Astyanax mexicanus: one gene and its partners. The protein of the gene in region 1 binds, or shares a complex with, the protein of each later gene. Links are inferred from orthologs where the notes say so. Each region holds a gene or a part of one and is shown in the gene's direction. Other genes may lie near its edges.

The links.
Region 2: mediator of RNA polymerase II transcription subunit 13-like (region 1) and med8 share a complex: the UniProt entries of both Homo sapiens proteins name them as parts of the mediator complex. The link is inferred for Astyanax mexicanus from reciprocal best matches to the Homo sapiens genes MED13L and MED8.
Region 3: mediator of RNA polymerase II transcription subunit 13-like (region 1) and med18 share a complex: the UniProt entries of both Homo sapiens proteins name them as parts of the mediator complex. The link is inferred for Astyanax mexicanus from reciprocal best matches to the Homo sapiens genes MED13L and MED18.
Region 4: mediator of RNA polymerase II transcription subunit 13-like (region 1) and med31 share a complex: the UniProt entries of both Homo sapiens proteins name them as parts of the mediator complex. The link is inferred for Astyanax mexicanus from reciprocal best matches to the Homo sapiens genes MED13L and MED31.

The regions. Positions count from the first base shown.
Region 1 is NC_064408.1:20,292,365-20,300,269, forward strand, and holds the start of mediator of RNA polymerase II transcription subunit 13-like, read left to right. Parts: upstream 1-4,895; 5' UTR 4,896-7,132; coding exon 7,133-7,204; intron 7,205-7,905. UniProt on the Homo sapiens protein: Component of the Mediator complex, a coactivator involved in the regulated transcription of nearly all RNA polymerase II-dependent genes.
Region 2 is NC_064412.1:54,815,184-54,822,480, forward strand, and holds the start of med8 (mediator of RNA polymerase II transcription subunit 8), read left to right. Parts: upstream 1-4,276; 5' UTR 4,277-4,371; coding exon 4,372-4,377; intron 4,378-5,463; coding exon 5,464-5,585; intron 5,586-5,696; coding exon 5,697-5,841; intron 5,842-5,938; coding exon 5,939-6,079; intron 6,080-6,815; coding exon 6,816-6,903; intron 6,904-7,297. Other genes in the region: KICSTOR complex protein SZT2, read right to left, coding at 549-719, 1,545-1,718, 2,286-2,411, 3,738-3,761. UniProt on the Homo sapiens protein: Component of the Mediator complex, a coactivator involved in the regulated transcription of nearly all RNA polymerase II-dependent genes.
Region 3 is NC_064413.1:34,555,992-34,563,884, forward strand, and holds the start of med18 (mediator of RNA polymerase II transcription subunit 18), read left to right. Parts: upstream 1-4,883; 5' UTR 4,884-4,992; intron 4,993-5,309; exon of another isoform or gene 5,310-5,443; intron 5,444-6,750; 5' UTR 6,751-6,784; coding exon 6,785-6,857; intron 6,858-7,782; coding exon 7,783-7,893. UniProt on the Homo sapiens protein: Component of the Mediator complex, a coactivator involved in the regulated transcription of nearly all RNA polymerase II-dependent genes.
Region 4 is NC_064424.1:13,288,076-13,295,816, reverse strand, and holds the start of med31 (mediator of RNA polymerase II transcription subunit 31), read left to right. Parts: upstream 1-4,721; 5' UTR 4,722-4,885; coding exon 4,886-4,907; intron 4,908-5,771; coding exon 5,772-5,846; intron 5,847-7,741. Other genes in the region: slc13a5a (solute carrier family 13 member 5a), read left to right, coding at 1,234-1,359. UniProt on the Homo sapiens protein: Component of the Mediator complex, a coactivator involved in the regulated transcription of nearly all RNA polymerase II-dependent genes.

The DNA.
Region 1 (7,905 bases):
CTAGCAGTTTCTTTGTCATTGTGCAAACATCTATGTATGCACATCTGTATATTTACACTGCCTGGCCAAAAAAAAAAGAAGTCACAGAGTCTAATATTTCGTTGGACCACCTTTAGCTTTGATTGCAGTATACATTTACTGTGGTATTGTTTCTATAAGCTTCTCCACTGTTACAAGATTTATTTCAATCCAGTGTTGCGTTAATTTTTCACCAAGAACTTGCAGCGGCAATGATGATGGTAGAGTCTGACCACTGCACAAAGTCTTCTCCAGCACATTTCCAGGATTCTCAATGAGGTTAAGGTCTGGACTCTGTGGTGAACAATCCATGTGTGACAATGATGATCCCATGCTTCCTGAATCACCTTTTTACACTTTCAGCCTCATGAATCCTGGCATTGTTATCTTGGAATATGCCCGTGCCATCAGGGAAGAAAAAATCCATTGATTTAATAACCTGGTCTATATTCAGTATATTCAGGTAGTCAGCTGACCTCAGCACATACTGTTGCTGAACCTAGACCTGACCGACTGTAGCATTTGCTTTGTTAACCTTCCTGCTATCGTCAAATATATGAACATCCTTTATTCTCTTGGTTAATATGATCTTAGCAATTTAAACCTCCAAAAAATTATTATAATTACAGATCATTAAACATGTTGGCAAAGTTTACTTACCAGTGTGTATCAAGTGTTTTATTAGTATTGCATAAATATTATAAGTAATGTTTTGTTAAATCAGGGCCTAAAGTAAAGGGACATTTAGAGAAATTTTATAAAACTGAACGTCATGGTGATCTTAACATTATTACTACACAAATATGTCAAATATTGTTATTTTTGTTATGTTTTATGCCAACAAAACAGCCTTTATAAAACAGACATTAAATTTGAACCATTTGAACATTTTTATTTTTTATTAATTGTCTTCATTAAATTAAGAAAAGACAATAAATATGAATTACAAAACTAATGTCAACCATTTTTTCAGAGACTTGAAACAATGAATGGGGTCAGATTGAGCCCAAAGATAATAGGAGGGTTAAATCCAGGTGGAGACTTTTTTTTTGGCCAGCCAGTGTATAATTTTCAATTTCTTAATTTCAGTACAGCATATGCACTGACATGCCAGGTGTCATGGGACATAGAACTGTAATATCATGTCCTATTACTTTTGCTATGTCGTATAGAGGCTGATGTGTGTGGGGCCTCCTGCATTAAATGTAATTGTGATTTCTGCCAGAGTTGCTTGTCTGTTTACACTGACATTTCTAGCCAGAGGTCGCTGGTCACATCATAACCACACACTGCTCTGTCCACTGTGGGAGGTAATGCCTTCTATGATGTATTCCTGGGAGTCTGGAATTATATGCTGTGGATTAAAGAAGATTAAATTTCAACAGAACTTCAGGTACAGAATGTCTCATTTATCTGGAACCGAATATCAGACCTCACTGGAACAGTTTATACAGGTCTGAGTGTCCTTTTCCTAGCTGTTCCCTGAGGTAGGCTCTCATAAGCCTGTAGAGAAGTATTGCCAATAGAATAGGACTCTCTGAAGCAGATATACCTGAAACAGTTGGCACTATGTTGAATGCCAGACATGGACTAGAGAGGTAAAAAGCTTTCCAGCATAAGTTGTGAAGCAGTGCTCCATCCAATACTTTTGGGATTAGTTGCAGAGGTGGGAATCATCCTCACAGCAGTCTAGTACAAATCCCTCCCTGGACAGTCGAGACAGTTGCCATAATGTCTCAAATAACAGAGAACAGTGAATAAGCAGGTATCTCAGTATTTTTGTCTGTAAAATGTTCATTGTAGTGTAAAGTGTACATTGTAGTTTATTTCATAACAGTGTATAACAACTTTATTACAATATGTTAATAGGTTATGACAGTACACCTTATATAACTGCACTGTTTATTATACTATCTAACAGCTGGTGTCAAACGAAATGGGTTCCGAGTGGTCCAGCGGTCTAAGGCACAGCCACTATGACCGGGAGATCTCCAGTTCTTATCCGAATCCTGTTTATGTAGCTTGCCATCAGCTACCGGAGCCCCGAGAGAGCACAATTGGCCTTGCTCTTTCTGGGTGGAATCTGATCAGCACAAGGCATCTGTAAGCTGATGAATCAGAACCAAGTCGCTCCGCTTTCCTCTGAGTGTGATGCTACTCGGCAATGCCGCATCAGCAGCAGTTCGAAAAGAGGCGATGACTGACTTCACCCGGAGTCTTCACCCTCCTGGTGTTGGGGCATCACTAGTGATAGGGGGAGTCCTAATGAGTGGCTTGGGTAATTGGCTGTGTAAATTGGGGTAAAGAGGATAAAAAAAACTTTAAGTAAAGTGGAATTATGACAATTTGTGTTGCATTTACAATCAAATGACAAAAAATAGTAATTAATTGATACTGTTTTTCTGTTTTTTATCTTACTTTTGTCTATTACATTTCATGTTTATTTTAGCTGGGTTAATTGTGAAAAAATGTTAGATACATATTACTATGAGTGTGTAAATATAAATACATGTTTAGAATTGGCAAGTTTAAAGACATCTTACTGGCCTTCTTGCAAAAAGTAAGCAGTGAAGTAATGAGATAGGAATTCATACTGTAAAGTGTTATGGGTGTAATTTTCTTATACATGATGCAATTGCTCAGCAGAGATATGGAGAGTTATCTTTTTAATATGTGCACTCCTTCATCAGCTGATGATAAATGTGGAAGCTGTGTCATTCCTGTCAATCATAAGACATGGTTAGGTTCATATCCTCTTTAACCCTTTCACATCCAAATTCAGAGGAAAAGAATATGCACATGATCATTCTAAACACAGTCATACATCCTATTCTTTCACAAACAATATATGGCTGTAATTACTGTTTATTTGTTTGTTTGGATTCTTTCTTAATCTAACTTATTTAGAAACATTTTTCAGTTATTTTAAATTGCTCAGGAACTCAATGGAAACATGGAAAAGTTTCAGAATGGAAGCTAATCTCATCTCTGGCAGAAAGAAGGTAGCTGACCAATGTTGGCTTACTAATGGCAAAGCTGGTTATTGGCATTTTTCTCAGCATTTTCTGGGAGACTTGCCAGATACTTTTGTTTTCTTTTATAAAGTAGATTAGAAAAGAGTATTCATTCATTTTCAATTAAATCATTTTATTTCAGACCTAGTCATTATTATATTTGTAATAACTGCCGTCATTATTTTTTCAAATAAAAGTCTCTGTGCATTTATAATATAGTTGGTGAATGAGCTAGTTAAATTAGATTATTGTGCATTAAAATGATCTGGATGTATCAACATTGTCAGTCAGTGGGGTGCTGAACTTAAAATATATCAAAATATATGCTTGCCATACAGGATGGTAATAACTACACAATCACAGTCTGACAAATTGACTGTGTAGATTTTTAATACGCTCAACACTAATAGTGCCTATCTAAATGAGATATTTAGTTGTGGGGACAACCTATTAAGACGTGGGAACAAAATAATTAAGTCATGGTCCCAACTTATTAAGGCATGGGAACAAAATAATTAAGTCATGGGGACGACTTCTTAAGGCATGGGAATGACATCATTAACGCTTTAATAAGTCATCGCCACATGTTACTATTTTTTTTTTTTACATGATATCACCATAGAACTGTACTGCTTGGAAAGTTTACACACTACATTAAAAACTCATGTAAAAACTCATTTTTTATTAGTCTGCAAAATGACTTTTGTGCTTGGACTTGACACACAGAAGGTCTGACACACTTCATCTTCATCTAAAACACAGTGGCATATTAGAGGGAGCATGCCTTTATCTTCTTCTGCTTTTTCATCTTTTTTCTTTCTTTTTTCCTCTCTGTTTTGTATTTTCTTTTCTTTTTTTTTCTTCTGCTTATGGTGTGTTTAATTGGGTATCAGCGCCTCTAGCGTCGAGATGAGGTTCTGTCCCTCTCTCTCTCTCTCTCTCTTTTTTCTATCAAAAGAGGCTGAAAACGCTGCTGTAATCCCTTTGCTTTGATCACGTGCTTTTTTTGTGCTCTACTTTGCCAAATAGGAAAGCGAGTCTCTGTCGAAGCCTGGCGGCCGCCATTACATAGCTATGCGTGGTGGGCTGTCGAATAGCGCGAAAAGCTGCCAGCGACTGTTAGCGTAAGCACACACACACTACACTGTTTCTCACACACACACCGTCTCTATCTCTCTGTCTCTGCCTCTCTCTCACTCTCACACAGACACACACACATAAAAAAGTCACAGACACACACATATAGGCTACACTGTTTGTCACATCTACAGTATCTCTGTCTCTCTCACACACATACATATACACAGTCACACACAGTGGCTACACTTTTCCTCACAAATACAATATCTCTCTCTTACACACACACAAACACAAAGTCACACACACATATGCTACACTGTTTCTCTCTCTCTTACACACATACACACATATTTACACAAAGTTACACACATACACACAAATAGGCTACACTGTTTCTCTCTCTCACACACAGCCTCTCTCTCTCTCAATTTAATTCAATTCAATGTGCTTTATTGGCATGATAAATAGTGATACATTTCTGTTGCCAATGCCTGAGTTATACAGTTTTAACAGTAAATAATAGTGGACTGTCTCAGAGATTAACAATTTCTAAAGTGTAGAAATTAACAATTTCTAGAAAACAATTATCTATTTCTCTCACACACACAAACACATACATACACACACATAAGCTACACCGTTTCTCACAAACACACTGTCTCTCTAAAACACACATACACACACATAAAGTAAGACCCCTCTATTTGCATAGCCTCCATCCAAACACAGAGCGTGCGTCGCGTGTGTTGTGTGTGTTTTTTTTTAAGGATCCAGGAGCCTCGCTCTGTTCGATTTGTCCTCGGAGTGTCTCGGAAGCGCTCGGAACCTCTCGCTCGCGCTCGGCAGCTCTCGGCGACTCGGGGAAACAGCGGCTAAACAGTGCAACAGTGACGGATGGCACGCCGTGGACGCTTTCGGAGAGAGCTCGCTGTGTGATTTCTGGCCGACTCGAGCAGGGCAGATAGCTGAGGAGGCTCGTCAGACGGCCGTGTTTACTCGGTGACTGGAGCTATCGGCGGTGGATCTGTTCCTTATCTAGCTTATCCTGTATCTTAGTTATCTATCTGTCTGTCAGCGACTCGGACTCGTTTCTGGCTTTTGTTTGATTTTATTTAGCTTTACTTCTACAAGAAGAAGAAGGAGAACAAGAAGAAGAGAAACTGGCGAGAGAGAGAGAAAGAGAGAAATATCTCCGGGAGAGGACGTTACGTTATTTCGTAATTTCGTTCTACTTAGCTAACTAGCTAGTTATGTTTATAACCAGAGAAAGGAAGGAAGTTTTTTCCCCTTTCTCTTCAGTTTTTTTCCTTTCTCTTCTGTTTGTTGGTTTTTAGCTTATCTAAGAAAGCTAAGCTAGGTTTGGTAGCTAAGGAAGATTGCAGTTGCTGCTGCTGTTTGTTGCTACGGCTGCTGCTGCTGTTGTTGTTAGCTAGCGTTAATGTTAGCTTAATGTTGTTTTCTTATTGTTTTAACTAGCTAAACAGGTTAACTAGCTTTGCGTTAGCTAGCTAGGTTAGCTGACTAACTAGTTATCTTAACTAACTGCATAGCTAATAAGGTTTCTTTAGCTGGTTAAACATGTTCGTTTGTTGTCTTCGCTAGGTGGCTAACTAACGTTACCTCCTTCCCTAGTCTCTCTCTTTCTGTGACTGGGTGACTGAGAGACTGATAAAGAGAGAGAAAGAAAGAGAGTGAGGGAGGGAGTGAGAGAGTGAGGACAAGAAGAGGAGGGTCAGGTTTTTATTTTTAGCTCCTCCAGAACGCTAGTTAACTAGCTGGGGTTAGCTAGCTTGCGTTAGTTGCAAAGTGAAACGAGGATTTTTCACCATTCTTCCTTCCTCCCTTGCTCAGAAGCCAGACTGTGTTGTTGCTCGCGTATCAGGGGAAGAGTGAGGACGGCTCTATAAATAGCTCCAAAGAGAGGGAGAGAAACTACATCGACGTTAGCCAGCTAGTATCATTTTCTCTCGTGTGCCCCCTCTCTCTATCTATCGCTCTCTCTCCTCAGTCTGTGTGTGTGAGTGTGTGTGTTTTTTGCCGCCTTCTCTCATATATGGAGGGCTGTGGGGGAGTCAATGGAGTCCGCTCACTCGCTCCGCGCTTCTGTATTGTTCCTAAACAGAGACGCTTCAGTGGATTATACTAGCCATAGCGAGCTACAAAACTGAAACTTGAACTGGGAGCACGCCGATATTGAGACGTGTCCTCTTTTTTGTGTGGATTTTTTTTGTTGTGTGCAAGAAAAAAGGAGAAAGAACCGAGAGGATTGGAGAGAAGGAAGGAAAGAAAGAAAGGGCATAACTGGTCCTGGCTCTTGCTTTTTTGAATTACATTTATTTTTTTTCTTCTCCCGTGGATTACTAGGATATACTGTGATTATAGATATGCTATTACAGTTATTGTATTAGTAGTAGAAGAAAAAAACAAAAAACAAGTCAACTGGCATGGACAAGGATGGTCAAATCATCTCACGGCGGCTAGGAGGATTAAACACACGGAGGATCATCATCATCATACCCACCGCCACCGCATCGCCACAGACAATGATTCGGTTTCAGCCGCCTGACGAGAAGCATCCGAGCCACCCCGAGCTCGTGTGGATGGAAACAAAGTGTTAGTGCTAGCGCTAGTTTTCAGTTTTCGCCCCGAAGAAAAGAAAAAAAAGCGGAGACGGAGAAAGGAAGGAAGGAATTAAACCCTAAGGCATTCCTACGGATTCGCTACAGTGTTTTAAAAAAAGAGAGAGAGAGAGAGAAAGAGAGAAATCACGCCTCCGCTGGTTTACACTGCGTTGTTCCTCTCAGTCTGCTGGCTTTCTCCGTGATTTTTCTATATTTGTTGCTTGCTTTACTACTGAAGGAATCGTTCATCCACCTTCTTCAACCGACAACCAACCTACCCACCTACCTTCCTTCCTAAGTACCTGCCTAACTACCCCCTCTCAGAACCCTCTGCTCGGTTCTGATACCGATCGAGGATCTCGACATGCCCTACGCTGACGAGCCCATCGGCGGACGATTATGACTACAGCAGCGAACTGGGTGGCTAACGGGGCGAGCCTTGAAGACTGCCATTCCAACCTTTTCTCTCTGGTACGGTCAACCAACCTACTTCTATACACTCACTTATGTCCCATAGAGTCTAGCTAGCTAGTGGCAGCGATTGGGCTGGAGGGGGGAATGAAGCAGCTGAGGGGGTGTGGTGGTGGTGGTGTTGGGTGGGTGGGTTTGTGGGGTTTGTGCCTGACTGCCTGGAAGTGTGTGTGTGTGTGTGTGTATGTATGTATATGTGTGTCTGTGTGTTGGTTGTGGGGTTCTCCTTGAGGGCAGGGACCAATCAACCATCCACCCACCACCAGCCTACTGTTCTCAAGGTACAAAGGTGAAGCAATCTCTGGTAGCCTACTGTTATTAGCCAATCATTAACATGCCAAAAGAGCCTGAGAGCTGGGCTGGCTTGGAAAGGTAGGTTAACATTTCTTTTTTTGGCAGTCTGCCTCCTCATGAAATGAGCTTGAGGGCTACTGTACTGTTCCCCACGGTGTGGTGGTCAGGAGTGGTCAGGATTCATACTCACCATTCATCATGCCATTGAAAAAAGAAAGGAAAGAGATGCCTTGCTTTGGCAGACAGTTCATAATGGCCAGCTGCTACTGTATGGTATGGTTGGTAGTTGATTGGGAATGTTGTGCTGCTATTGCTCGGGTTGCTTGTTACACACACACACACAGGCAAATCTGTTTACTCAAGTTTCAGACAAAAACCCTTTGGGGAAAGGAGAGACAGGTTCAGCT
Region 2 (7,297 bases), on another chromosome or scaffold:
TGAAGAACAGGATTAAAATTTAAACACAAAGCCTCAACACAACAACAAAAATAAAACAATAAAGACGTTTTATCACAATCACAATAAAGTACTTCTGAGATACTGTAATCTATCCTTAGCCATATAATTTGTCTCCTGCTATACAGGATTTAAACATTTAATCAATCTAGAGAGCCTAATCTAGTTTTTGTATACTTTAATTAATACTTTATTTAAGTTTAGTATGTGTTTGATCACTGTCTATCTTGATATTAAGTGTATTAATGACTACAGCTCTCAGAGCACCTTAAATAAAGCTTATCTTGCACTTACAACCTGTGCCCACCTTAAAATAGACAAATCATAGAAAAAAGCATTTTCTGCAGGAAAAGTAGATTGGTTGCACAGCTAAAGTGGTTTCCAGTTGTTGCAGTGATGTGGCTTGGTAGCTGCCATGGTCAACCATTACTAGGTGGTTGATCGCAGTAGAGAGAAACGTGTGTCATACTGAAAGTGTGATGTCATCCGCTCTTAATCCAAGTGATTAGAGGGAAGTGTGATGTAATGACCTGGTGTGAGCTGAGGCCGACGATGGAGGAGTATGCCAGGATGGTGATGAAGATTTCAGGCTGAAACAGGAAGTCTGTGCCGGGAATTTTAAACGGAGCAGCCAGTCCAGCCAGACATCTCGAGAGGGCATGGAAGACTTCATCAAAGATCATCTCGCCTGTGCTGTCATCCTGCACAACACAGAGAATCACAATCACATCAAACGTAAGGAAAAAAACAGCCTATTATACTGCTGTAGCTTTACATCACTGACTAAAATATATATATATATATATATATATATATATATAAGTGGATTTTACTACCCAGATGGTTGATACGTCTTTCCTAAATGGTTTCCATTTGTTGCTAGATATTGACTATCTCAGGTGGTTGTTAGGTGGTTGCTATGGTATCCTAGATGGCTGCTAAGGTGTTGCTAAGGGGTTGCATTCCTCGGTGGTTACCATATCTTTCTTAAATGTTTGCTCAGGTGGTTGCTATGGTGTGGCTGAGAGGTGTCGCACAAGGTACGGTATTCCATGTGGCAAATGCTATGCTATGCTATGGCACCTAACAAGTGCCATCATTCACCGCAGTAACCACCCAATAACAATGACAAAGCTGCTACATGTAAGAGGTTCTTGGCTGGTTGCTATGGTGTTGCTATGTGAACACAAGATGTGTGCCATAATGTTGTGAAGAGGATTGTCATGGCATTCAGCTGCAACTGTTCATACAATAACCCATATGGTCGGTCAGGTGTTGGAAAAAAGCTAGTGTGATACCCCATATAGATAGTTGTTACCATAGCACCCCATTCACTTTGTGATCTCCAGGCGCTGCATATTAATACAATAATTTAAATTGAAAATGTGAGACTGCTGCTCCAGCCTTATCTTTAATCAAGGTTTGCACTAAACACACACACACACACAGTTTAATGAAGAAAAAAAAAAGATAATTAATGGAGTTAGAAGATTAATGGATGGTTTGAGCCAAACAAGCAACTTTACCACAATCCCGGTGGAGGGGCTGAGGTCCAGCTCAATGATAAAGCGGTACCGCCGGGCCAGGAAGGTGACCCGTGTGGACGGCACCAGCAGGTACGGCATGGAGGTGTGAGGAGAATCCGGCTGCCATCCTTTTGGCAGAATACTGAGAATATCCAGTTCATTCTCTGATTTGAGCTACAAGCACAACATATTTTTCCTGATTACTGACATTTATTTACTCTTTTTATCTAAGTCTATTTAAATCAGTAATAAATGTAATATACTGTATTATCAATTCAAACATAACACCCTGAATGTGACTTTAAGCCAAAATAAGGAGTACAAGTAATTACTGTATGCTTTAGAATGTGCAAAAGTGCCTCTGTAGAAGATGTACATTAATTTTTCATTTAAAATAAAAAAATATGTAACTAAATTGTAATGTATCCTAATTGCATAGGAATTGTGTATCAAAAACAATCCATAGCACATATTTATCATAGCATCTTTAATATTTATAGTTCATAGTTATTTTTTATATTTCACTCTATTTTCGCAATATTTAAATATATATCATTTAAATAAATGATGTTATTTCTATCATGCAGCCCTAACAACAAATTACCTGTAGGCTAATCTCACGTAGGCCAAGCATACATACCATTTCTATTCTATGCATTTTAACATTATCTATCAAAAACATTAAAATAATCAAATATGACACAGTGACTCTATTCAGTACCATTCTGCCCGATCACGTACCAGCTCAGACTTTGGGGACGGCCGGATGACCTGGTTTAACTTGCTGAGGAACCAGGATAGACGCACATTTCTTGATATGTGGTAATCTTCTTTCATCAACAGGTAAACCTGGTCTGCCTCCTCCACCTGCAGAGAAAACACAGCCAGGTTTTTACAAAAAAAAAAAAAAACACCACAGATATGTTCAAGTGCAGCATCACAGACAATTATGATTTATATGATCACTATAACAGTGCTATTGTTTAGGTTATGTGTTTATTCTTTTTGTAAAAAAGAATAAATAAGGTGGGCCTCCACCTTATTGTAAACACAAGCTTAAATAAAGATTAACACCAAATAAAGAGAATTAACACCAGCAAATTAGCAATACCGTATCACTAGGCCTGCCACGATACCAATATTTTGTGGAAGATATAGTGTCCCGGAAACTATTGCGATAAACAATATTACAGTCATTTTAAGACCATTCAAATGCCACTTATATTATATATAATATATAACTCACCCAGATTGAGAAATAACCCCCAGTTATCCACTGCAACACACCAACCACAAGTATTTAATGGTCATAATACAACTATATTAGTGTTTATCATGATCATTTTTCTGGAACAATATATTGTGACAGGCCTAAGTAAAAGTGTTAAAAACAGGCGGTGAAGGTGAAGAGTACAAAATGAGGGCTCTCTAAAATAAGAGCACACCTCTGTAGCTAACAAATCTATAACGAGACTATTATAAAGGTCAGCTGATAAAGAAAATAAACAAATAGCAATTTATCAGGCAGCTGCAAGTCACTGCATGAACCAGTGGATTAAAAACTGTTATCTCTCTTCACATAATTAACGTTATGGGTTTATAGAAAGTAGATTAAATTACTTGAGGGTTCAAATAAATAAATCAATAAATACATGCTTGTGCAGAGATTTACTATATGAGACTTCTTGCTTTTTTTAAAAATCTGAACATTGCAGTGAGATGTGGGAACCACTTTAGGGAGGGGCTGGTAAACAACACTGGCAAGCTAATATGACAGGATATTGTGTGTGTGTGTGTGTGTGTGTGTGTGTGTGTGTGTGTTTAGTGGACTTATATAGCTACTACAACATTATATTTAATTTTCTAAACACTGGTTCTCATCTTTTTATATTTATGTTACTTCTTTTTGCTTTATTCAGATGAAAACTGCTATAAAAAGCTATAAACTGCCTTTCCCATGTCTGACCAGGTTTAGAGTAAATTAGTTTTATAATAAACATCCCCTAAAAGTTAAAATTTATATTTTTCACAGCAGAAATATTAAGTTTTAGACACGCAGAGCTCTGAAATACACTTTCTTTAACTAAGCAGTAACTGACCCAGCCTCTGTAATGATTTATAAATCACAAGACTGTCAGTAAACAAGTTCAGCAGAGCAGAGTAAACACATAAACAGCATTAGCGCGGCTTTACCTCAGAGTCCGGCCTGTCTGCCATGCCTGGTTTCGCATTACTGGCGAATTCTCTGCTTCCCCTTCAGCTTCTGTTAACAGAATAAATTAAATTAGCGCTGCTGGTATTTTTATTTCTATTTATCACCGCCAAGTTCGCCCAGCTGTCTGCAGTTAGCTTAGCATAAAGCTAAACAACTCCTCCGGAGCGCTAAACAGTGAACACCACTAGTGATTTAAATAATGTCAAAATAAAAGTCCTCATCCGGTCAAAGCATATTGAAGTCATATTAAAGCATACAACTCTTGAAAAAAATAAGAGACCACTTAAAAATTATTTGATTTTACCAAATATTTTTATTTTTTTTATTTCAGCCATTGCTCAATTTCTGCAAAAAATGTTCTAAATTATATATTTTTATTTGGAATTTGGGAGAAATTCCATTCATTCATACTAGAGACCAAAATAAGACTTCATCATTTTAAAATGAATGACAAAAAAGATTAAATGAGACATATAACATATTGATAATGGTGATACATGAACGTATTAGAGGGGACTTCTTTTTGTGTTTTGCAAAGCGGGATGTCTGGGCTCTGTGTTTCCGGTATTTCTGGTGTTTGGTGGTTGGGAGCTGCGCTGCTTGTGAATAAAGATGCAGGTAAAACTGAAATATTTTGTAATTTTATTATTTTTTACCGCTTATTAGTACCGTCAGGGTCATTCCTACATAACTTCTGAAGGTGTTATTCGGGGGCTGAATTGATGTTAGTGTGTGTTTAGGCGAGTTTACTGTGTGTAAAAGCGCTGTATGCAGGTTAGCCTGTGTTCCTTAGATTTAATAATAAAACAAGCCTAAAATCTCCTCTTAATTCCACTCTTACTGATATAAACTTTAATTCAGGTTCTCTGTAGTACGTATGATCTCAGATTTTAGCAATACATTGTTAACTAAATGTAATTATGGCTCATCGTAGTTGAACTTCACTGTAAAGAGACCATGTCCATATATCCCCCAAAAAACTTATTGTGACTAATATTAGTAATGGGCGGTGTGACCAACAAATTTATATCAGGGCTTTTATATAGCTGTCTGCCTTATTTTACTGTTAGATGTACATATTAAATAAACATTTGGGCTTTAAATTAAGGGCTTGATTACTATTGGGTTTACTTTGTCCTACAAAATTACACCATAAATATTAATAAAATAAATATTTTAAATAGTTCCATAAACACTATAAATAGAACTAAAATACTTAATGTTTAAGTATTCAAAAAGAGATAATCCTCAAAAGCTCTATTGCACAATTGAAGCCGTTAGAGGCATTACAGTATTAAAATCAGCCACTATTCCCCTTCTTTCTCCAGTAAAAAATATATATTCAATAAATTCAGTCTCTGTTCCTGAGTGAATAATTGCTTCTATTTCACTCTAAAAAAAAAAAACTCATACAGTGAGGAACAGCAGCAGGAGCTCCCCAGATAAAGTGTTTTCTTAATCAATTAGTTTGCCCACTTATTTAGTTAAATGTTTTTGTATAGTTAAATGTTTTTGTATAGTTAAATGTTTTTTGGTAAAATTGCTGTTTTTATCTGCACAAATAAGAAATATAAACAAATGCAGATTTTTGATCACAATAATGCATATATGCAAACCGAATGGGGTTCAAAATAGACCAGCATTCTAGTTTAAAATAAGAGATTTTAACATGTGGTCTGAAAATCGTTTTCTTTTTTTTTTCAGCAAAGAGAAGAGAAGCAGTTGGAGGCGTCTGTGGAGTCTCTGATTTCTCGCGTTGCACATCTGAAGAATTCTCTGCAGAGCTTCATCTATAAGCTGGAAAATGAATATGACAGATTAACATGGTGAGTATCAGGTCATGGCTTACATTACATGTAAATATATACATTAAATAGCCATAGATAACTATATTGCTATTGATAACTGCTCATGCAGATGTGTTTCGTTTATCACAGGCCTTCAGTGCTGGACAACTTTGCCCTTTTGTCAGGGCAGTTAAACACAGTGAATAAACTGTTAAGAAATGAGAAAACTCCATCTTACCGGAACCAAGTCATCATTCCTCTGCTGCTGTCGCCAGATAGAGACGAAGATTTAGCGGTTAGTATCTGTATCTCTTTCTGATATCGTTATGATATCGATATATGTCTGTAAACAGGGGCTAAATTACATCCTAATTTGTGTTCCTTCTATTCAGAAACTCACAGAGCAGAGGGTGCCTGTGTTCAGTCATGAGATTGTTCCGGATCACCTCCGGACAAAACCGGACCCGGAAGTGGAGGAGCAGGAGAAACAGCTGAGTGTAGAAGCTGCCAGGATTGGACCTGAAGTAGCTCAGGTACTGCATTAACAACCATACACTGTACTGTCACATGAGATGAAATGTATTTGAAAACCTACTTCTATGTTGTTTTTGTGTTTCATATTGCTATTGCTCCATATATCAATATTACTTTAATAACTAACTCTGTGTATGTATTAGTGCATCTATAAAAGTAGAATATTATTAAAAAGTTACTGTGTTTCAGTAATTCAGTTGAAAAATGTGAAACTCTTATATTATTTAGATGTATTAAACACAGAGTGATCTATTTTAAGCATTTATTTATTTTATTGTTGATGATAATGGCTTATATTATATACACATTATATTATAAGACCAGTTGGTACTTTTGGCAGTAAGGGCAGTGTGCCAAGTCCTGCTGGAAAATGAAATCCGCATCTCCATAAAAGTTGTCAGTAGCAGAGGGAAGCATGAAACCCTCTGAACTTAATAAAACACAGTGGATCAACACCAGCAGATGACATGTCTCTCCAAACCATCACTGATTGGTGGAAACTTCACACCTCGACCTCGAGCAGTTTGGACTGTGTGTCTCTCCACTCTTCCTCCAGACTCTGCTTCCTTAATTTAGAAATGAAATTTAAAATAAAATTTACTGTTGATCAGTGATGATAATATCTTTTATGAGTGCCCTGCTTCTCAGTGGTCAGCTTACATTTATTTATATATTTTTTGTCTTCCTGTAACAGTACTGAAAACTAATCAGTGGTTTGTTTGTTTGTTTAAACAGAAACAGATCCAGACTATGAATAAACTGTGTTCGAGTCTGTTGGAGAAGCTCAACAATCCTCGTGATGATCGAGAGGCAGAAACTGCAGGTGAGTTCAAAGTTGTGTTGTGTTTGTGGTGTTACCTACAATGCCTTGCAAAAGTATTCTGAACTTGAACTTTTCATCCTTTTGCCACATGTCAGGCTTCAAACATGAAGATATGAAATTGTAATTTTTTGTGAAGAATCAACAACAAGTGGGACACAATCGTGAAGTGGAACTGCTGTTCACAAACCATCCAACCTGACTGAGCTCGAGCCTTTTTTTGCAAGAAAAAATGGGCAAAAACTTCAGTCTCTCGATGTGCAAAACTGATAAAGAGAAAGACCCCAAGCGACTTGCAGCTGTAATGGCAGCAAAAGGTGGTGCTACAAAGTATTAACACAAGGGGGCTGAATAATATTGCACGCCCCAGTTTTCAGGTTTTTATTTAAAAAAAAAA
Region 3 (7,893 bases), on another chromosome or scaffold:
TGTCAAAAAATAATCAAGACAATTCTGATTTTTGTTGTTTTCTTTTTTTTTTTGACAGTTACAATATTGGAAAAGAATAACACATAAAATGTGTCTTAAATATAATTACCACATTATTTATGTATTTTTTTCTGTTTTTTTCTATTTATGTATGTTAAATAAAAATTAAATAAAAAATTATTTATTACAGTTTGATGAATTTTGTTCTCTGTGACTTATTTGTACTTTAAACTGTTCTTTAAAAGGAAACATTTAAAATTGTTCTAAATAATACCAAAAAGTGTTTAATTACTGTAAACAATAATATACTTTCCAACATTATACACAACCATTTTAAGTTTATAGATATTAGAGACATACACATTCAGTAGATACATTTAAAGCAATATCTCACACGTGCAACTAACCAGAATGCCTCCAGTCATGACACAGTGTTACATTATTGAGTATAGTGACATTATTCACATGTTCCATAACTTGCACTCAGCAGTGCACATTAGAGCGGTTCTGCATGGTGAGAACACCGCTCTTCTACAGGCAACAGCAATCCTGAAAGGTGAAAGCCCTGTACTCATTTTAATCTTAAATATGGCTCGCTTATGTCATTTGGGTAATTTCCACTTGGCATCAGTTAGTGTTTTTGAAATGTTTGTGAGTCAGGGTGTGATTTAAGATACTGTCACCAAGTTTTTGACTGTTCAATCTGAATACTAATTAAATGCGTGGGCATGGAAGCATTTACCATTTGATGCACAGTGGTCACTGTAAGACACATGTGTCAAACACAAGGCCCGCGGGCCAAATGTGGCCCGCCACGTCTTTTTATGTGGCCCGCGAGAGCTTGTAAGATCTTAGTGTCTATAATAAATAAGTCAGAAGCGTTCTTTGACCAAAAAATACATTTCCCACAATGCTTGTCGATTGTATTACCCGCAAAGTTACGGCTTACTGCCACTACACGGCAGTGTAGTCATTGATGTGGAAACCCTGCCGGACGGAAGGTGTAACTTCGCGGGTGGAATTGAGACATATAAATGTTTATCCCATAATGTCCAGAAAAAGAGAAGTTGATGCAGACGGACGGCTGTGCTTCAAGGCGACCGGTATGCCTTTTGTGTTACGAAGAGTGTTACTGACCAAAATAAACGCTTTTTAGGAGAGATATAAGTTCTGTGTAAATATTTATAAGACAATAGCTGACAAAATCTGTTTTAATGACGTTAATAAACATCACTGGGACAGCGCTAGTCGCAGTTTCACCGCAGCAAAGTACGAGGACGTGAATAACTTATCTAACCAGCCTTTACTAATTTCTGCCCTCAATAACCCTTTCAATAACCTCCAATAGCCTTTAATAGTCTTCAGTAGCCTTCAACAGTCTAACCTTGCAGCCGTGGTGTGTCCACTAAACTCCGTAGTTATAAACATCCTGAGGTTAGCAGCGCGATAACTGACCTGTTTATAATGTAATCACAGCAGTGACTCATGCTCTAAACGGCTGCTGTTAGCTGATTGGGCTGAAAGATGAACTGTAGAGAGCTGTATTATTCGGTTACAAAAATCTTTATTTCATACACAGAAGAACTTAAAATTTTTAAAAACGCTCCAGACTGGCTGAGCTGAGCCCTGTAGCCCGTGGCTGGGCTGTAGCTCTGACTCAGTAAAGACTGCGGACTTGTGGTGCTGCTGCTGCAGCTCCCACTAGTGGTTGGATGAGGAACTGCTAAATCTGAGGAAATGCTATGTTCTTAACAGCTCACAATTTTTGATTTTATATTTATTAAGCCTTATTTCAGTTAATAATTTCAAAGTTAATATAACTTGATGTCATTTCTATTCACTTGAATAGTTTGGTTCTTGATTGATGGAGTTTCATGACATGACAAATTAAAAGGATTTATGTTAATAGAGCAACAAGCAAACATTTTTTCCATGCAACTGTAATATTTGATTGAATAAATAATATATTGAGAGTTATTTAACATTAAGGAGTAATTACATTCATTTACATATATTACATTTGGTTACATTTTATTACATTTATAAGTTACATCTGGCCCTCGGAGGACAGCCAATATGCCAATGTGGCCCTCGGCCAAAATGAGTTTGACACCCCTGCTGTAAGACATCTTCTAGTTTTTTCTCACTCAGTTGTGTTTGCAAAAAGACAAAATCTCCAAATTTGCTTTTTAAAATTTCTGGGAACACAGGAAGTAAGAACTGTAGTTTTTTTCTGGGCCCAGTTCTAGTAACACTGATGTTTTGACCTGTAGCCCAGTGGAGATTGTATTTGCCTATTCGATCATATTTATGAGCACATAAACCAAAGTGTATGGCACCAAAGCAAGAAAAACTTACCAGTTTGCTACCTTTCTTAAATAAAAAAAACAATACAATAAAGTTTACATCACTTGTTTACTGAGGTTAAACAATTTCAGCAATTTTACCTTTGAGCTGGCACCAAAACGTGCTGCTTAACTTTTTAAACACTAAAATGACTAAATGCTATATCATTCAAGTGATATACATAAAATTGGCATCAAACAATGAATAAAAGCATTTGCAAATGCATGTCATGTATTAATGACATAACATGTCAATCCATGTGGGTGGAGCTTCAAAAACTCTTTTTCCATATAGCATGACAAATATGGTGCAAATAGATAACTGTGAGGTGATACATTTTAAATATATATATATATATATATATATATATATATATATATATATATATATATATATATATATATACAGCTCTGGAAAAGATACCACTTAAAATTATGTGTTTCTTTGATTTTACCAAATTGAAAATCTCATAATCAATCAAGAATAGAACATAATCAAGAGAAAGATGGATGATTACAAGCCATATAAATGACAATATATTTATTTGGATTTTGGTAGAAATGTTGTCCATAGTTTATAAAATAAAACAAAAATGTTCATTTTACATTTAACATGTACCTATAAATAGCAAAATCAGACAAACTGATTCAGAAACTGAAGTGGTCTCTTAACTTTTTCCAGTGCATTCATTTCACAGATTTGTTTACACAATGTTAGTGAATATCAGCATATCTGAATGTATGGCATAGTAACTTTCAAAATCCCACCCCCAACATTTCCACACACACACACAGACACACAAGTGCGCTCAAACATACACATACTCACATAAACTTAAACCTATACAGAAACATGAATCTCCAGGTAAACACACACACAGGCATCCACACATAAGCAAATATACACACATATGAGCACACACATACATATACACACATATAAGCAAACACATACACACAAGCAAACACTGGAGAGTAAAAAAAGCAAACTCACCAAGACATGTATGCAAGCACTTTTTCTCTTATGGGTGTACTTACTTTTGGTAACAGCGATTTAGACATAAATAAATAGCTGTGTGTTGAGTTATTTTGAGGGTGCAGCAAACGTACACCGTTATACAAGATGTACACTGACTATTTTAAATTGTATCAAATTGGCATATCTTCATTGTTGTCCTATGAAAAAGTAAATATTAATAAAATGAATTAATAACTCACTTCTGTTACATACTGTATTTTTTAAGCCCATCTAACCTTTAAAATGACATTATTTAAAAAGAACATTTGTTTGATCTTCTATACTTAGTCATAAAGGAGTCACACACTCACATTGTACGGCATGCAATGTTCTTTTGAAGAACAAGATAATGTCTTAACATTGAATCAAGAAAAGATTTAACATCACATGATTTCAAAGCAAACTGGATACAAGTTGCTTAAAGTAAATACTGATTGATTTATGATTGATAAATGAATACAGATTATTCATTAACAGTCTATCATATTGAATGCCCTGCAGAGGGTGGTGAAGGCTGCACAGGGGATTGTTGCCTCCCCAGCACCATGGACATCTACACCTCCATACAAAGGAAAAGGGCCACCTGCACCACCCACCACCCTCTCTTTATGTCCCGCTCCAGGCAGAAGCTGCATCAAGTACAAAACAACAAGACTGAAAAACAGCTTAATTCCAGAACTGCACTGACAAATCATATTGCTGCTACTCTCCAACTCTCCTTTATATTTTGTGTATTTATCTTTATATTTTCATTTTTTTATATATATATTTTTTTATCTTTATATTTTATTATTTATATTTACTTAACAATTGCTCCTTTTTGGTGGAATTGGACCGTGAGTTTATTAATTTTATTCCACCTGTACCACATGTGATGTGAATGACAATAAAGTCTCCTTGAATAAGATTATCACGTGAAGAAAAGAAAACAACAGACAAGCTCACTCACACACGCACAGACATACACATATAAATGTCTTGGTGCTCTACTGATTGTACTGGTCTAACACACATGCATGCAAACACACACACAATATAAAGTAAAACACCAAGGTTTATATGATAATTCCTGAAATTTAATATGGCGCAACATAAAATTTGCTTATGGACTTAAAAATGTCACTTCTTCATATGTAACATTTCTTCTTCATTTTCTTCTGTATTGGTTGCTTTCTTTGTTTTTTTTTTGTTTTTTTTTTTTCGTTTTTTGTTAAGATTGATTAATTTGCTATTTTCCTGTACATTACAATTATATTGAACTAATACAACATTTAATATATATATATATTGTAAAAGTTTACACGTTTGAGGACATTGTGTTGTGCTGTTTTTACAAATTTGGCAACCCAAATGTACGCGCATGCGCAAAGCCTGTACCTCTACAACGAACAGAGTTGCCAGTTTCGCGGTTTTTCAGCCAAATTGGGCTTGTTTCAAAATCCACTCGCGGATGAAAATTTAGGGGTGGCGGGGTGCATTGTTTGGGCTACTTTTTAAAAATTACCGCGCTCGCCAAAAAAGTCACAAAAAAGAAAAAAAAACACACAATCTAACCAGAAATCACCCCGCGATGAAAAAAAGGTTAAAGAGGATAGAAGGGAGTTCAGGATGGGAAAGAAACATAAATGAGTAAGTCAAGTTTTTTTTTTTTTGCTAATTATGTTACTATTAAATGTTCTTGTCTGGGATATAAAACTGTTATGAAAGAACTAATAAAACACAATAATACAAAAAAAATACAATACAAAAATACAATATTAATGACTTTAAGGTAAATAGCAATACTGATAATAAATATATTATAAATATAAAATACTAAGTCGTAGTTGTTTTGCCATTTGCGTCGAATGTAAGACAGAAATATTTAATATTTTGGGCTAGGTTAAGCTTCTGAAGGCCGGGATTTAGACTGACTTTGAGTATTTATGGTGGACCTGGCAACCCTGACAATGAAAGCGCTAGCAGGCTAAGCGACAACAGAGTGCACAGACAGCAGTGTTACACAGCCGGTCAGTCAGATAACTGACGGTTAAGACGTTATAGGCTGAATATTTCACGCTTTCCTCTTTACACAGAGCCGGTATGTGTTATATTCAGAGCTGGGTTTGTAGTATTTGTCTATCTTTCTGAATTATTTACTTGTTTCGTTTAGGCCTCGTCTTTCTCACACACACCTCCAGTGCAGTGGCGCCACTGTGCTGTAACATTTGAGTAACACACACACAGAGACAGGCACACCAGGACCTTTTAAAACACTAATTTACCAAAATAAAAAGTATTTAACTGCTAGTTTAAATGTTACATTTGTTCCTGGTTTATTTAAGGGTAGTATATTAATAACTTAACTAGAGTTAACGAGCTAACGCTAACTAGCTCATCGTGACCACAAACAGCCTTTGATTACTAACCTGTAACCTAGCTACTTTAGGGTCACTTAATATTTATCTATCACTCTTTTATCTAGTTAACCAGCTAACCTACGTTTATTTAATGCTGTACTTAATGATGTTTTTAATTTTTCACAGAAGTAGTAGTTAACTAGCTGTTTGAGTAATGGGAGCCCCGCCAGTCACCGTATATATACAGCTCTGGAAAAAAAATAAGAGACCACTTAAAAAGTTTTTTTTATTATTATTATTTTACCAAATTGAAAACCTCTGGAATATAATCAAGTGGAAGATGGATGATCACAAGTCATCAAACCAAGCTAAACTGCTTGAATTTTGCAGGAGGAGTGGCATAAAGTTATCCAAAAGCAGTGTGTAAGACTGGTGGAGATCATGCCAAGGTGCTTGAAAGCTGTGATTAAAAAACAGGGTTATTCCAACAAATTTTGATTTCTGAACTCTTAAAACTTTATGAATATGAACTTGTTTTCTTTGCATTATTTGAGTTCTGGAAATTCTGCATCTTTTTTTGTTGTTTCAGCCATTTCTCATTTTCTGCACATAAATGCTCTACATGACAGTATTGTTATTTTGAATTTGGGAGAAATGTTGTCCGTAGTTTATAGAATAAACTACCTATAAATAGAAAAATCAGAGACACTTATTCAGAAACTGAAGTGGTCTCTTATTTTTTTTATATATATATAGATAGATAGATAGATAGATAGATAGATTATTATTGATTATCCATTGGCTGACACTGACCACGCTACATATACTTACTATATTGTTTTAAGCTATATATTTGTGTGTAAAACCCCCAAAAAATGTGAAAACCAATTTTTCAGACACCTTTCATTTTATTGTTTGCTCAAGCTAACAAACAGCCTTTGATTACTAACCTGTAACCTAACTACTTTCGGGTCTAGCACTCTTTTATCTACTTAACTAGCTAATTTAACCTACGTTGATTTAATGCTGTGTTTAATTTTTTTTACAGAAGTTGAAGGTAACTGTAACTCCCCGGGTGAGTGATGGAAGCCCCGCCGGTCACCGTGATGCCCGTTACCGGGGGCACGATAAACATGATGGAGTATTTACTGCAGGGTAAGATACTGTCTGTTTTCAGCTGTCGATCCCGTTTCTCCGCTGTTTCAGCGAGGCATGGTCATTACAATGATTCCAAATGATTATCAACAACCGGGTTAAACCAGTTGTATCGTTATGAAGCTTCGATACCTGTACCCACGCCGCCATCTAGTGTTTAGTTCTAACTTTTTCTGAAGTTTAACTTTCTTTCTAAACTCAGATTTTCATTTACAAATACACTTTAACTACAAAACGGATAGATGTACACATGTGATCTTTAGCATAACTGGGAAGGGATGGAACAGGGCTGTGTTGAAATGAACAGCTGCAACCAGCTTAAAACTAGATTTGTACAATTATTGTAGAATATTTTGCATTTACCTTTTTCATTCCAGGCAGGTTATTTTGATGATTACATGTAATTCCATTTACATATTTGTAGAGGTGGGCAATGGGGCCCTAAAAGTATTTTTGTGAAAACAATATTTTTGGCGATGTGACAAAATATTTGGATAATAAAATAAATTATTAAAAAAACACTGTTGCAACAAAATTATTGTATTTGATTTGCCAGTATTATTGCATAGAGTATGATATGGCCAATCCCTAATTGAGGTTGAAACCAAAGGTAATGATCTAACGTGTTACAATACTATTAATGCGCTCTATATATTTAGGACTGGTTTGAATCTTTAAATTTTAGCGATATTGGAATTGTTTTTTTTTTGTGAATATCTTTTCCTTTTCCTTTTTTCCCCAAGAACAAGTACAACATACAAAAACAAACAAAAGTATAGAACAATTAAATATTTTTTAAAAAGAATTATCAGCATCATTTGACTTGGTCAACACTGTTTTGATGATCTGTAGTATTACTTTATTATTACTTTATCTGTAGTATTACTGTATTTCTGAAATTAATACTGTATTCTGCACTCCATAGGCAGTGTGCTGGACCAGTCCTTAGACAGTCTCCTCCATCGTCTAAGAGGTCTGTGTGACAACATGGAACCAGAGAGCTTTGCTGATCATGAACTAGTTTACCTTCTTAAAG
Region 4 (7,741 bases), on another chromosome or scaffold:
AATCTGTGGTGAGAGTGTAAATAATTGTTAAATGTAAGTACACTAGCAGTCAAAAAGTGTTGCTCTCATACACTGATAATTAGCTGTTTTGGAAATATTGAGTGTAGAGAGGGACCTGTCAGTTTTTGGAGCCAATACAGATCTTCCTTTATTCCATACCAATCCAGGGCAGGACCTGGTGCCACATTAACCTTTCCAGGCAAACTTCTGAACATATGTAATCTGTCATTATTCCTTAAGCCCTAACTGGATAGAATTAGTTTTTCAGGGGGTCCTGGGGTAATTTTTCTTTTCTGTGAATTTATTCCCGTCCAGAGAAAATTACAGGCTGAATTACCTACTGTTTTTCACTGAACTCTGTGGTCCTCCGGTATTTTAAGTCCCGTCCAGATGCACATCTCGGAGTTTTGCCACTTCATGTTTAATAACATAGCTATTTGTCTACTGCTATGTACCGTGATTACATTTGGGTGCGCATTTCCATGGTGATCCACCTAAACACAACAGTGAGTGCAAACGGAGGAGCTACTGAACGCAATGTCACATGACCGAGAAAGCCAAAAAAAACTCACTGGTCCTCCTGTTTTTTCAATTGCAGTCCGGATGCAGGAGTTTTATCACTGAGTAGAAGTGTAAAATATTTTTCACAGACATGCCCCTGAGAAACTTATCCCGTCTGGATAGGGCTTTACAATAAAAATTCCTTTAAATGTGGTCAGTATTTCTTGTTAGTTTATGTGGTTAGTGGTGTTTGTTAGCTCTGCTGAGTTGCTATGTTAATACTCGCTGTACTGGGTTAATGTACTCTCGAAAGGGATAGTGGAGTTAAATGTTTTGGAGCTGGGTTTAACAGTGGCTTTAATGCATGTCTGCAACCATGCCAATGCTTCTCGCAAGGAACTTCAGTATCCTGTGACAGAGGAGTCTCGCAAAGATCTGCTGTAATCCTTCATTTGGGAATATAATCTGATCCAGACACTATAGGAAGTGTGTTGACTGCAATAAAGCAAATGTGTAAAGCAGTTTATTGCGACTAATTTAAAAAACAGCCATCAGCATAAGAAGACAACTCTTTTTTTTGCCATTGTTGCCTCTTTGTTTCTGTTTTTGCTATTTTACAATTTTTGGGGGTTATTATTTTTGACTGCCAGTGTATTTTTACTCTTGATCTTTTTACTTTTGATACATTTGATCTTTTATAAATGTGGTATTAAACTGCGTTTCCCTCCTCAGGCCAGGACAGGTATTGTGATGAACATCATTGGTATCCTGTGCATCACCCTGGCGATAAACAGTTGGGGCAGACCTCTGTTTGGCTTGGACTCCTTTCCCAGTTGGGCTAACACCACAGGGGTGTGAGAGACTGGACACAGCACACAGCCAGCACAACAGATTACTCACACACCAACAGCAGCCCCCTCGACTGCACTTAAAGCTAAGAAGCTGAGGGTGGCGCCTTCATCACACCTCTGACGGGTGTCACTGGAGGAGCCAGCACATCCTTACCTGCTCTTATACACTGTGACAGTGTGTCATACACATACTTTATCAGTACAGATGTAATATATAATCTGTGTACAGCAACTACCTTATATAAATATGATGGTGATGGCAATAATTTTTTACATTTCATTTATTACATAAAACCTTATGAAGGATACTCATGGAAACCGGTGAGACTGAGAATCATATTTGTATACAATAAAATATTTTTCTATTTATCTTTAAACATGTATATGCATAAATATATATGAATACTGTTTGTTTTGATTAGATAGGACAGCTCAGGACGGCTCTTTATATTACAGCCTTTGGCCATGTGACGTTACATATAAATTTGAATATGTTTCACATGGTAGTCTCGACTTATATTAAATCAAATGTGATGGAATGTTTGTAATATTAAAAAAGTTTAATATTTTTTGTGTCTTCCTGTGTTCTTATTTTAAATCTTATGCAGACAGAGAAACAAAAGATCTACAGTGGAATTCAATGTAAGACGTTTTTATATGAAGTACATTTTGGAACAATTCTGTATCAAACCCTCAAACAGCCCAGCATCAAAAACCGTCATTCAACAATAGCTGATAGAACCATGTAGACAAGAGATTACTTTACAGTAATGTTTACATTCACAAATGACACGCAGAAATTTACTATTCAATGCAGAATCACAACAGGTGGATCATCACACAGTGGAATCATGTTTTGTGGTCAAATAAGTCAGTAATCCACATATTTATTGGAAGAAATGGTTGCTGTGAGCTCTGATTCAAAAATGAAAAGAATCAATCAGACTATTATCATTATCAAATCCAAAAGTCATGGTCTATCACAGTATGGGGTTGTGTCAGTGCATTTTTGTGATGCAGCATTAATGCAGAAAAGTACGCTAAGTTCTTAGTGCAACCTTTAAAACAACATTTTTTCAAGGCACGACCAAAACTACATGCTGCACACATTACACGAATCTAAAACAAAAAAGAAAAATGACAAAGACTCCATACTGTTGTTGCACATTGTAAGACGTGTCTGCAGGAAGTATAGGACAAAATAACACCTGAAACAATTTTATAGCTTGTTATCATCAGTGACTAGAAAAAGAAATGGCAACATGACAAGGTAGGAACGTGTTGCAGGAATGGATGTATATTAATAAATTAATTGATGTTAACCAGTTAAATCATGAAAAATATTGAGTGCACATTGTCTGCAATTAAACAAAAGTAAATGTAAGACAATTTTGTTTTGTTTTTTTATTATTTGCATTTTCCGTACTGTTCCAAGTGTTTCTGATTTGGGGTTGTATATAAAACACCTGTTAAATTAAAATTGTCAAAAAGTGAGAAGATTTTTGTATGACAGAAATAAAAACAATTGTATGTTACAGCAATTCAAGTTTATTTAATAATATATTCTTTATTATAATCACTGTGTAGAGCTACAGTACCAGTCACGGCGGTGCTGCCCTCTACTGGTCATATTTTAGAATATGCCAACAGATTTTTTTTTTGTTTGAAACAGATACGTTTCATTCAAGTATGAGTAGAATAAATCAAGGACTTACTTTAAACATATAATAAACATGATTTTTGTAACACTACTAGAACATGTTTTTGTTTTAAGTCAGGGTCCAGGTGAATACATGTACATTACAGATAATATAAGTTTATACTATAGACTATGTTTATTTTTCTCTATAACTTTAAGAATTTAATTAGGCAAGGTGCGCGCTTTTACGCACGGGGCGTGCTTTTACGCATGGAATGCACTTTTACGCACGGAATGCGCTTTTACGCACGTAACACGCTTTTACGCATGAAATGCGCTTTACGCACGGGATGCGCTTTTACGCACAGGACGCGTTTTTACGCGCGGAATGCGTTTTTACGCACGGAATGTGTGCTTTTACGCACAGAATGCACTTTTATGCACAGGGCGCGTTTTTACGCACGGAATGCGTGCTTTTACTCATGGAATGCGCTTTTACGCACAGGACGCGTTTTTACGCACAGAATGCACTTTTACGCACAGGACGCGTTTTTACGCACGGAATGCGTGCTTTTACGCATGGAATGCGCTTTTACGCACAGGACGCGTTTTTACGCACAGGACGCGTTTTTACGCACGGTACGTGCTTTTATGCACAGGACGCGTTTTTACGCACGGAATGCGTTTTTACGCACGGTACGTGCTTTTATGCACGGAACGCGTTTTTACGCACGGTACGTGCTTTTATGCACAGGATGCGCTTTTACGCATGGCGTGCCATTTCATATTCAGTAATAAATACTCTTTTCATCTATTTATGCTGTAACGTGTTGATACTGTTTGGTGCTTTTCCAGCAACAAGCAACACTGCTAATGTGGAGAGTTTTACATTACCCAAGCTCTCTTACACTCTTAAATACATCAGTGTAACAGTGGAGAATCCAACCATTTATAAACTATATGTTTCAGTTAACTAATCTGTTTTATACATCATCCCTGTGATGGTAGAAACACTTCAAAACACCAACTTTACATGAGAAAAAATGCTCTTAACTTTCAATAGAAGTCACTATAAAATGACACTTGCAGATCCAGAAGAACATATTTGGAGTACATGGAGATGCACAAAAGGACACTTGGAGCACTAATGAAGCTAGTGCTGTAGCTGCCAAGACGTCTACAGCCCAATGCTAGCGGTTTTGAGTTACTTGCGTCTTCAGGCAACATGTTGTCTACCAATAAAATACCTTTTAGGAAACAGTGTGCACCGGGGAGCATTTTTTAGGATTACTAATACAGAGGCTATAAAAAAGGCTATGTGTGCAACTCTGAACTTATCAGACTCGAGATTAAAGCTTTTAAGCTTTAATTATAAACATTTTGTACGCGTTCTCATTTTGAACTGTATCTCCAGCATCAGCTCACCAACCAATCAGCTCAGAGTAGCAGTAAAAAACATTTCTTGAAGAAAAACTAAAATATAAAGGTAAATTGTATCTGCTGTTTTATTACAATAATTTATTATTCTTTATAAAATGAAATGAATATCACAGATAAATAGTTAATTACTATTTTTAATTTGAGTTTTAGCTGTTTAGCTTCATTAACCCCCATTCATTGAGGACTCCCTTAAGGGCTCCCTCTAGCGGTTCTCAGTGATATACAGATATAAAGGGGGTATAGTGTGAGTGGGCGGGCTCTGGCTCTGACCATACCGTCATCACGTTCCTTCCCGGAACTTACGTAGGAGGAATATGGCGCTGGGCTAGACAACACAAAACGGCTTTCAGCGCATAATTATATTATTATTTCAGTAAATCCGGTTTGTTTGTAGCTGTTATTCGCATTTAAGCGGTTTAGTTAAGTCGTTGTTGTTTTAGTTTGTCTGTGTGAGATGGCTGGAGTCCTGGAAACAGGTTTGTATAACAGCTTTTCCAGCAGCAACTTCTTTATTTAGCTCGGTTAGCTTTAGCTACCTAGCCTTAGCTTGCTTATTTTGCCTTTAACCCTCAGTGGCTTAAGTTTATATATACAGCTCTGGAAATATTTAAGAGACCACTACAGTTTCTGAGTCAGTTTCTCTGATTTTGCTATTTATAGGTAACTTATATGTTTAAGTAAAATTTAACATTGTTGTTTTATTCTATACACTACGGACAACATTTCTCCCAAATTGTAAATATAAATATTGCCATTTAGAGCATTTATTTGCAGAAAATTTGAAATGGCTGAAATAACAAAAAAGATGCAGAGCTTTCAGACCTCAAATAATGCGAAGAAAACAAGTTCACACCTATAAAGTGTTAAGAGTTCAGAAATCTATATTTGGTGGAATAACGCTGGTATTTAATTAAAGTTTTCATGCATCTTGGCATATTCTACTCCACTAGTCTTACACACTGCTTTTGGGTAACCTTGTGCCACTCCTGGTGCAAAAAAATCAGATCAATTCAGTTTAACTTTGATGGCAAGTATATCTTATAAGGCTGCAACTAGCAATTTTTTAGGTATTTGATACATTTGATTAGCCGATTAGACCGAGCTGACTGTAAATTAAGTGCCCTTACCCACAGTGCTTTTCCCCCCCAGCACTTTGTGTACACCATGGCAGTTACACATTTACAAATAATCAACACTAACATTTTAAGTTGACAGACTGGGGAATAGAACCTCACAGGTTTTAATGTTTTCTGTAAGAATATTTTGAAAGTCTGATAGCTAGCTGGTCACTGTTATCAATATTCATGATAACGTTCTCTAAACTCTTTCTTTCCATACAGAGGAGCAAGCAAGAAACCGCTTTCAGTCAGAACTGGAGTTTGTTCAATGTCTGGCCAACCCAAATTATCTTAACTGTAAGTTACATTTCTGTTAATGTCTATTTTTATTGAAGGTACTTGCTTTAGTAATGGGTTTAGCTATAGTTTGTGGACACCCTTTTAATTAATGCATTAAAGTACTATAAGTTGCACACATTAGGATGTTGAAATCCTAATAAATACACACACTTATGGAGCTACAGTACAATTCCTGTAGAAAATGATTGCCAGTAGAATAGAACTCCCTGGAGTCTTAAATTAGGGGATGGCAGGAAAGCTTACTTGTTTCTTTACTGCTCACACTGTCTCAGAAGGCAGTGTAGTGGTAAAGATCTCTGTGATGCAGTTAGGGTTGCAACGGTATGAGATTTTCACGGTATGATAACCGTCTCAGAAAATACCGCGGGATAACGGTTATCACGGTATCACAGTTTGTTACATATATTATTAAACTGACCCTTAAAGAAATGACAACAAAGGTTTTTTGTTCAATTAACTATTTATTGTATAAACTACATCATCAGGTGAAAGAAACCAGGGCAGTGTATATATAAAAAAAGTTGGTATATAACCAGATACTGCAGAAAGAGGGGATTTATATCTGACATGATCCTCACATTAGATATTTCTATTTTAAGGCTTTCACACCTTAAAACCTTCAACATATGAAAAACAGTCACGTCAGAATTTGAAAATGAACGCATGTAAATGAATGGCGTCTTTCACATCCAGTCCGGCCAGGACCTTTACACGGACACGTGAATCCATCGTAGCACGCACTTCACGCCTGTACCTGCGTGCCCAAATTTCGGATAACTCAGCGCTTTTGCGGGCGCTTACCGCATGGGTTGTGCACGACTACAAAGAGGTTTTATTTAGGTTCAGATTAAAATTATAAACTAAACACATACTTTGCGCTGCACAGCGGGGTGGTGTTCTCGGAGATGGGAGAACAGGTGTATTTCCTCCTTTAGCTGTGACTTTACGGCCACATTGATTACAAGCTTGTTGATTACAAGATTACAAGTCTGTTTTCGGGCTGTTTGAATGAGCGAAATATGATCAGAATTATGTTAATTAACACTAACATAGAAGCATAGAACTATTATTTAATTAAAATGATTTTTAAGAACAGCTAAACACAGTGCGGAGAAGTTCACGTGCGAGAGAGAGACACAGAGAGAGAGAGAGAGAGAGAGAGAGACACAAGAGAGAGAGAGAGATTTGCGTGTTCTTGTATGAGCTACTCACAGGTAAAGGTTCTCTTTGATCTCCTCGTGCTCATATTTTAGTCCCATACATAATTCTGCAGTTTCTCAGTGTTTTCTGTCGTATTTTGCGGCTAGCGCGAGCGCTAACAACTAACACCGCGGACCGCGAGGTGCCGCCGCGCTGCCGCTGTTATGCCGAATCCGACTCCCTGCTGAATCCGACTCCCGCTTCGCGGACAGAATCGGCACAACACCTCCCGCTGTAGAACTGCGGGAGTGAAAACAGCGCTTATAAATAAGTTAGTTAAGTTTCACTTTCAGTTTTCATTATTTGGTTCGTTTTCATTAACAATATTAATTGGTTACTTAGCAACATTGTGATTATCACACCAGAGCTTTATTTAAAAATAAAATATATGATTAAAAAACAGATGCCTACATCTCAGACTATTTTCTGGAGCCCAACCCGACCCAGCCTGAGGAATGTGGTGGGAAATATCGGCCCAGGTCTGGTTCGGGCAGAGAATCTAAGAGAATCTAAGCTCTAGTCTGATGCACTTTCTGCCATTCTCACCGCTGTGTGCTGAGTAGCTGAAGCGGAGCAGAGTTGCGCATGCGCGGGTGAGTTTCTCCGCTGGCTTGCGTTTTACCGGTAATAAGCAAACACACACGGTATGATAACCGTGCATTTTAATACCACGGTATACCGTGAAACCGGTT